Anolis sagrei: one gene and its partner. The protein of the gene in region 2 binds, or shares a complex with, the protein of the main gene of each other region. Links are inferred from orthologs where the notes say so. Each region holds a gene or a part of one and is shown on either strand. Other genes may lie near its edges. The genes, in order: INSIG2 and SCAP.

Region 1 (3,919 bases), on a different chromosome or scaffold from region 2:
ATCTAGAAATTGCTAGAGATTGCATTTTAATGAAATCTATGGATAATCAAATCTGCAGATGTAGAGGGCTGATTGTAATTGTCAAATGAAGTCAGGCAGAATACTCAATAATTTCAGTCTGGCTATGGAAAAGAAGAAACTATGGTGGACATGAAGTTTAGATGTAAAACAGAATCTATAGTTGTAATCAGACTTTTCCAAGTGCACCTTCTAAGAAGGAAAAAACTAGCAAATTATTATTATTATTATTATTATTATTATTATATTTATTTACGCTGTTTCTGTGACAATAAGACATCTCCTGAAAATAAGACCTAGTAGAGGTTTTGCTGAATTGCTAAATATAAGCCACTGCCCCCCCCCCCACTGCCCAAAAGTAAGACCTAGCAAAGTTTTTGAACTCCCTCTGGTGGTCAGAAGCTGCAATACTGTCCCTGCTGTACAAGTGGTCCAGGAACTGCTGTGAGAGACCGTTATAGTCTCCAGACAGTGTGTGGGAGCCAAGTACTTTACAGCCCTTATTTTTTGTGGCCTTGTGTGTGAGTCAGGCAAGCAGTCTATTACTTTGATTCTTTAGGGGTGTCTGCTTTTATGGTTTGTGATGACAACTACTGTAGGGTATATAATAAATGTTCATTTTTTGGTTCAACAATAAATGAGAATTCATCTTCATGGAAAAATAAGACATCCTTGGAGTCCCCCTCAGGGTTGAGAAGAGCGATGTACAAATTTGGTAATAAATAAATAAATTAAAAAACCTAATGGCCAAATTGTCTTATTTTTGGCATTTACTTGAGAATTCTCTCTCAGTGTTGGCTCTTGACTTCCCTACTTAGGGTTTCTGCTGATAGTATAAAGTATCAATTTTATTTATCAAGGAATTCCCTGAAACAAAAGGAAACGAGAAATACATACACTACCTTACCAAGAAAATCCAAAAGCCATAAGTTCATAGCTGCTCAAGGAAATGCATTCACTAGCTCATGTTTTTCACTTGTCTCTGTATTAGAAGTGTGCGAAGCAACAGAAATCTGTTTTGAATTTTGTTTCAAAATTCAGATGGCCCATTTCATTTTGAAAATATTTCAAAAAATGGGGAGGGAGGTAGTTTCAAATCTGAATTTTTAAAGTTTTGTTTCATTTCATTACTGTTTTGTTCCATTGGTGGCAATGGGGGAACTTTAGAGGTTTCTCTGCCATTTATGTGGAACACTTGAAGGACAATTTTATAACTTTAAGCCTCACAAGTTTCAGAACATTTCGCTCATGTACTGATTTTTTGGAATTTTAAAAGTTTTTAAAAATAACATTTAAAAAAAAACGACAGAAGGGATCCCCTTGAATTTCTGAACAATGACACAACATATGCAGGACATAATTTTTCCCAAATTTCAGAACGTTTCACTCACCACTGATTTTTAGGGGAAATAAAAGTAAATTTTCTCTCTCCTAATCGAGAGGAGGAGACAGCTTGCAGAAAAAAAAAACCAGGTGCAGTTGCTATTCAGCAGGGATTTCTGGGACTTGGAAGTCCAAAACAACTTCACAACAGGAGAGGAGAATGGAGAAGAAAACAAGCCCAGTGACTGGCTGAGGAAGAGCATGTGATGCAGCAAGTATGGCAGCACTCAGCCCCATCTGTCTCATGGAGAGATTGCTCGCTTGGAAAAAAATGGCCAGGTAATTACCATTATTGATATCTTTCTTCTTCAGCTGTCAAGGAAAAAAAAGTGTGCAGCTGCCCTTGTCAATCACGTCAGCCCCCGCCCCTCTCCCCTCCCAGGACAACGGATTATGTTAAACTGGGAAAAAAGGTCAGAATCAACAAATCTTTTCCGAATTTCACAGAAAGTTTCAGAGCCTTATGTTTTGATTTGTTAATACTTTGGCGGGGTCCTTCCTGCGTTTCATTTTGGCAGTTCATGTCTCCAAAATGCCAAAATTTTCTGAAATTCAAAACGTCCAGAATTTTGCACACTCCTAATATATATCACTCCACTGATTGACTTGCTCTTTAAGTTTACATTATATATTTTTTTAAAATAAAGCTTTTGGTTAAACTATTCCTCTCAAAACTAGAGAGAAAAAGAGACAGAAGGTGCATCTACACTGATTAAAGCACCACTTTAACTGCAATGGCTCAATGCTATGGATACTTGGGCACTGTAGGTTGGTGTGACACCAGAACTCTTTGGCAGAGGTTAAAGACCTTGTCAATCTACACTGAGCCATGGAGGTTAAAGTGGTGCCTAACTCCTTTAATTCTAAAATGTAGATGCACTTAGAGAAAGGTTTTGCTATTGACAACTAAAATTACAAATACTGAGGCACTATTGAAGGCAATGGGAAGGGATTCTGGGCACACACTCCTTGTGTGGACTGGACTGATTTCATATCATTTTCCCAAGTGGTTCCCTAGTATATCTGCTCAGTTCTGCCATACCTGAAGCTGTTCCACAGCAAAGTGGGACCCACCAAGCTGATGAGAAGATACTTGTAATTACATCGGGGGGAAACAAGGTGACATTTCTCTGAATCTGTAGCAGGTTTAATACTAATGCAAGAAAGACACCGATTAAAAATAGGACCACCCCACGAAGCATCAAGTTGAGGCTGCGGCTGGTGACTGAAGAAATGTATGGGCCACACTTCCTTCGTATGGATGGCTGGGCAGCAGCATCTGCCATGGCCTTATGAACTCCCAGCAACATTCAGCACAAAATGTTTGAAGCCTGAAAAGAAGGAGAACCAAGGCTGGAGCAATCCTTTTTTTCCTTGATTCAGGACATCCTCCAATTCCTATTCAAAGAAGGAAAAGGAGAATTAAAGTACATACACATATCTAAATGTTCTTTAGAAATCACATATACACATAAAACATAGAGGTTCTTAACTTGAAAGAAATGCTATGGTTCAAATTCCTCTTTCTTTTTGTCCTATTATTTCCAAATAGATTGTATGAAACTCATAATTTGGATTGACTGAACCTTGTCATACTAATAGTGCACATTATATAAAAATACTTTTTATAACAACTGTATTAAATTTATTAGATTAAATTCAGCTATTTTGCTATATAGGCCATACATCATAATCTTTGTATCTTGTCTTTGCTGGAAATGTTGACAAGTGCAGTTAATTCTGCTTCTGCCTCTATTAGCTTTTTTACAAGACAAAATTATATGTTATTCATATTTAATATTGTTATTAATATTACGTATAATAACAATATGCTAAGTGCAATATAATGTGGTAAGATTGCACAATAATGTATACTGCTTTGTTTGATCTTGCTTGTTTATAATGTTTTATATTTGTGTGTTTGATTTTGTACTGTATTTTTAACATGTTGAAAGCCCCTTTGGGTCCCTTTGTGAGAGAAAAGATGCATATAAAAAAAGATTTTTTTCAAAAAATAAAACATCCTAATCCTTTATTACAGCAGTTGCATTGGAGAGGAAGCATTCCAGACTTCAGGTTTCAAACCCTAGTGTCCATTTAGAGCGAGTCCCATTTTCACCTAAAAAAGATGTCGGCTGAGCGTGGAGAGAATGGCAGGGCATTGATCGGGGCAACCCCTTCAAGAGTCTTTGGGGTTCCCAGTGTCCAGAGCCATGCTGGGAAGACAGGTCAATCTAGTCTCATGGTGGTTAGACAAGCCAGGCGGTCATCTCCAGAAGGGAGGCGGTCAAACTAGATGGAAGATAACAAAAGGTACCATCGGGATGAGAGTATGGCCCTTTTACCTCGGTCAGGAAAACTCCAAAAGGTAATCTCTAGGTCCTCCAGCATGACTGGGCAAAAAGGTTCCAAGAGCTGCCCAAAATAGTCACTTGTCGGCTACGATTTGCCCATCCTGGTATTGCAAAGTCAGGCAAAAGAGGGAACAGAAGTCTGAGTCCAAAATACCTGACAAAAC
Region 2 (3,919 bases):
ATAACAGAAAAAATGGAGAAAATATTTAAGATACCACTTCAAATAAATATGGAGTTGATGTTCATGGGAATATTAGGAAACAAGAAAATCAATCCAAAATATCAAGATTTCTTCAAAGCAATGATTCTTGCTTCTTCAAAGCAATGATTCTGTGATAGCTTGGGGTTGGAAAGATGCAAAAAAACCGAATATGGCTAATTGGAATAAATATTTGTTTGACCAGATCCAATCAGAAATTATTGCAAATGTAACCTGTGAGGATATGAAGGAAGATAAAATGAGGAAAATTAAAGAGAAATGGTTCATATATTCAGAATAGATAAAAAGAGGCGAAGCCAATGTAAATATTGTACAGTGATGGGAAAAGCTGAGCTCATGGATGGAGTTAAAGTTCTAATGGAAATGTGGTATTTGGGGTGGGGGGGGGGGAGGGAAGGGAAAAAACAAAAACAAAAGAGTGAATGAACTCTAAGACATACTAGATAAGTGTGTGGATAATACTGAATGGAGGAGGTGGAGGATAATGGTGTAGACTTGTGGTTATAGACGACATGCATGTGAACATCCTGCGGCTCCTCCATGATGACAACAGTCTTGGACAGCAATGGCTCCCAAAGTGACCCATTTAAGGTGGAATCAGGCATCAAACAGGGATGTGTTATTGCCCCAACTTTATTCTCCATCTTCATCACTATGATACTTCACCTTGTTGATGGGAAGCTTCCCACCGGAGTGGAAATCATCTATCGGACAAATGGCAAGCTCTTTAACCTCAGCAGACTGAAAGCCAAAACCAAGGTTACAACAACATCTGTTATACAACTCCAGTATGCTGATGACAACGTCATCTGTGCACATTCAGAAGAAGATCTACAAGCCACTCTAAACACCTTCGCAGAGCATAGGAGAAGCTCGGCCTGTCATTGAACATCAAGAAAACCAAAGTGCTCTTCCAGCAGTCACCAGCCAATCCCTCTCCAACGCCAGAGATAAAGCTTATTGGTGTAACATTACAAAATGTTGATCATTTCCACTCCCATGGCCACCACCTCTCCACCAAAGTCAACATTGACACTGAAATACAACACCGCCTGAGCTCTGCGAGTGCAGCATTTTTCCCAATGAAGCAGAGAGTGTTTGAGGACCGGGGCATCGGTAGGGAGACCAAGGTTTATAAAGCTATTGTCCTCCCAACCCTGCTATACACCTGTGAGAGGTGGACTGTCTACAGACATCACATGCAACTCCTGGAACGATTCCATCAGCGCTGTCTCCGGAAAATCCTGCAATTCTCTTGGGAAGACAAGCGGACAAACGTCAGCATGCTGGAAGAAGCAAAGACCACCAGCACTGAAGCGATGGTCCTCCGCCATCAACTCCGCTGGACCGGCCACGTTGTCCGGATGCCCGACCACCGTCTCCCAAAGCAGTTGCTCTCCTCTGAACTCAAACAAACTAGTCCAATGTGGGCTAGGCAAAACTACGGTGAGATGGATCAGTAATTGGTTAAATGGACGAACGCAGAGGGTGCTCACCAATGCTTCCTCTTCATCTTGGAAAGAAGTGACTAGTGGAGTGCCATCAGCAGGGTTCTGTCCTGGGCCCGGTCCTGTTCAACATCTTTATTAATGACTTAGATGAAGGGCTAGAAGGCAGGATCATCAAGTTTGCAGACGACACCAAATTGGGAGGGATAGCCAATACTCCAGAGGACAGGAGCAGGATTCAAAATAATCTTGAGAGATTAGAGAGATGATTGGCCAAAACTAAAAAAAAATGAAGTTCAACAGGGACAAATGCAAGATACTCCACTTAGGCAGAAAAAACGAAATGCAAAGAGACAGAATGAGGGACGATGAGGCCTGGCTCGAGAGCAGTACGTGTGAAAAAGATCTCGGAGTCCTCGTGGACAACAAGTTAAACATGAGCCAACAATGTGATGTGGCGGCAAAAAAAAACCCCAATGGAATTTTGTCCTGCATCAAGAGGAGCCTAGTGTCTAGATCTAGGAAAGTCATGCTCCTCAGGCTCTATTCCGCTTTAGTTAGACCACACCTGGAATATTGTGTCCAATTCTGGGCACCACAACTCAAGAGAGAGATTGACAAGCTGGAATGTGTCCAGAGGAGGGCGACTAAAATGATCAAGAGTTTGGAGAACAAGCCCTATGAGGAGCGGCTTAAGGAGCTGGGCATGTTTAGCCTGAAGAAGAGAAGGCCGAGAGGAAATATGATAGCCATGTATAAATATGTGAAAGGAAGCCACAGGGAGGAGGGAGCAAGCTTGTTTTCTGCTTCCCTGGAGACTAGGACGCAAGGGAACAATGGCTTCAAACTACAAGAGAGGAGATTCCATCTGAACATGAGGAAGAGGAAGAACTTCCTGGCTGTGAGAGCCGTTCAGCAGTGGAACTCTCTGCCCCAGAGTGTGGTGGAGGCTCCTTCTTTGGAAGCTTTTAAACAGGGGCTGGATGGCCATCTGTCAGGGGTGGTTTGAATGCAATATTCCTGTTTCTTGGCAGAATGGGGTTGGACTGGATGGCCCAGGAGGTCTCTTCCAACTCTAGGATTCTGTGATTCTATGTAAACATTACAATCAAACCGAAGATCACCTAAAACCCATTCAAATATTGTAACTACAACACTGAAACGGCTTCCCAGGCTGGTTCCTAATCGCCATTGAGGAAGGAGGAGTTCAACAGGTCGAGGCCTCCCTCAAAGGGTCCCCAAAACAGGCCCAAAGGGAGCCTGATTGGGAGTAGTGCGGCTCCCCTCAGCCCCAGGCGCGGCCTACGGAGCCTCCCTCTCTCCCTTCCCCTTCTCACCTCAAAAAAAGACGGGGAACAGCTCTCCAACCGCCTCCTTCCTTCCTTTCTTCCCCTCCGCGCCTCCTCACACGCCGCCCGCTTTCGCCTTCTCCTCGTTCTCCTCCTTCGCCGCTTCCCGGCTTCCGTCGCTCCGCCTCTTTTTCGTGCGCATGCGTAGAAAGAGCCCGCGAGTAAGGGAGGAACAAACCCTTTCCGCCATTTCTCCTGCCCTAGACTTCAACCTTTTGCGCGCATGCGCCACCGGGTGTTTTTTTTTTCTCTTCTGCTCTGCTAAGCCACGCCCTCCGCTCGCTGATGCCAACTGCTGCAAAAGCTTCCGCTTGGTCCTAGCGCCGGGACGAAGATTGTGCGCATGCTCCAGGAAGAGCCTTAAAGCTGTCATGGGAGTAACTCCAGCTATATAACCTATCTCTACACATAACAATGTTTGTTTGTATTTCTCAAAATTGCTTGCTTTTCGTTCATTTACAAGGATTTAAGACAAAATATTATGGTTTTCTTCATCATCCTCATCATCAATAATAATAATAATTTCCTTCCTCTATTCCTAGGATTTGGCAAACCTTGCACCTAGAAAACCTGATTGGTGAGTATAAGCAGTAATCTACATAAATAATCAAGAGAAGGTGGCAAGACTATACAGAAGATCTGTATAGGAAGGATAATAATATCGAGGAGAGTTTTGACGGTGTGGTGAATGAATTAGAACCAGACATCCTGAGGAGTGAAGTGGAATGGGCCTTAAAAACAAAGATGGCAGGGACCTAACAGAAGCTGAAGAGATCAAGAGAAGGTGGCGAGACTATACAGAAGATATGTATAGGAAGGATAATAATATCGAGGAGAGTTTTGACGGTGTGGTGAATGAATTAGAACCAGACATCCTGAGGAGTGAGGTGGAATGGGCCTTAAAAACAAAGATGGCAGGGACCTAACAGAAGCTGAAGAGATCAAGAGAAGGTGGCGAGACTATACAAAAGATCTGTATAGGAAGGATAATAATATCGAGGAGAGTTTTGACGGTGTGGTGAATGAATTAGAACCAGACATCCTGAGGAGTGAGGTGGAATGGGCCTTAAAAACAAAGATGGC

The links.
Region 1: the proteins of SCAP (region 2) and INSIG2 are in contact, whole or in part, in a cryo-EM structure (PDB 7ETW), measured with the Homo sapiens proteins. The link is inferred for Anolis sagrei from reciprocal best matches to the Homo sapiens genes SCAP and INSIG2. Residues at the interface, in NP_036367.2 of Homo sapiens: Pro200, Ser206, Val282, Ala283, Glu284, Ile286, Pro287, Thr290, Ile294, Ala297, Tyr298, Phe301, Lys305, Tyr351, Val354, Val355, Glu359, Thr409, Leu410, Val411, Ser638, Tyr639; in NP_001308258.1 of Homo sapiens: Phe41, Val45, Leu48, Leu49, Ile51, Val55, Leu57, Phe58, Pro59, Val62, Ser65, Ile66, Glu104, Trp105, Ser106, Met109, Arg110, Val112, Ala113, Val114, Val116, Gly117, His120, Gln132.

Annotation. Positions count from the first base shown.
Region 1 is NC_090021.1:217,544,560-217,548,478, reverse strand, and holds the start of INSIG2 (insulin-induced gene 2 protein), read right to left. Parts: upstream 2,712-3,919; coding exon 2,444-2,711; intron 1-2,443. UniProt on the Homo sapiens protein: Oxysterol-binding protein that mediates feedback control of cholesterol synthesis by controlling both endoplasmic reticulum to Golgi transport of SCAP and degradation of HMGCR.
Region 2 is NC_090026.1:131,103,281-131,107,199, reverse strand, and holds the start of SCAP (sterol regulatory element-binding protein cleavage-activating protein), read right to left. Parts: upstream 3,029-3,919; 5' UTR 2,825-3,028; intron 1-2,824. UniProt on the Homo sapiens protein: Escort protein required for cholesterol as well as lipid homeostasis.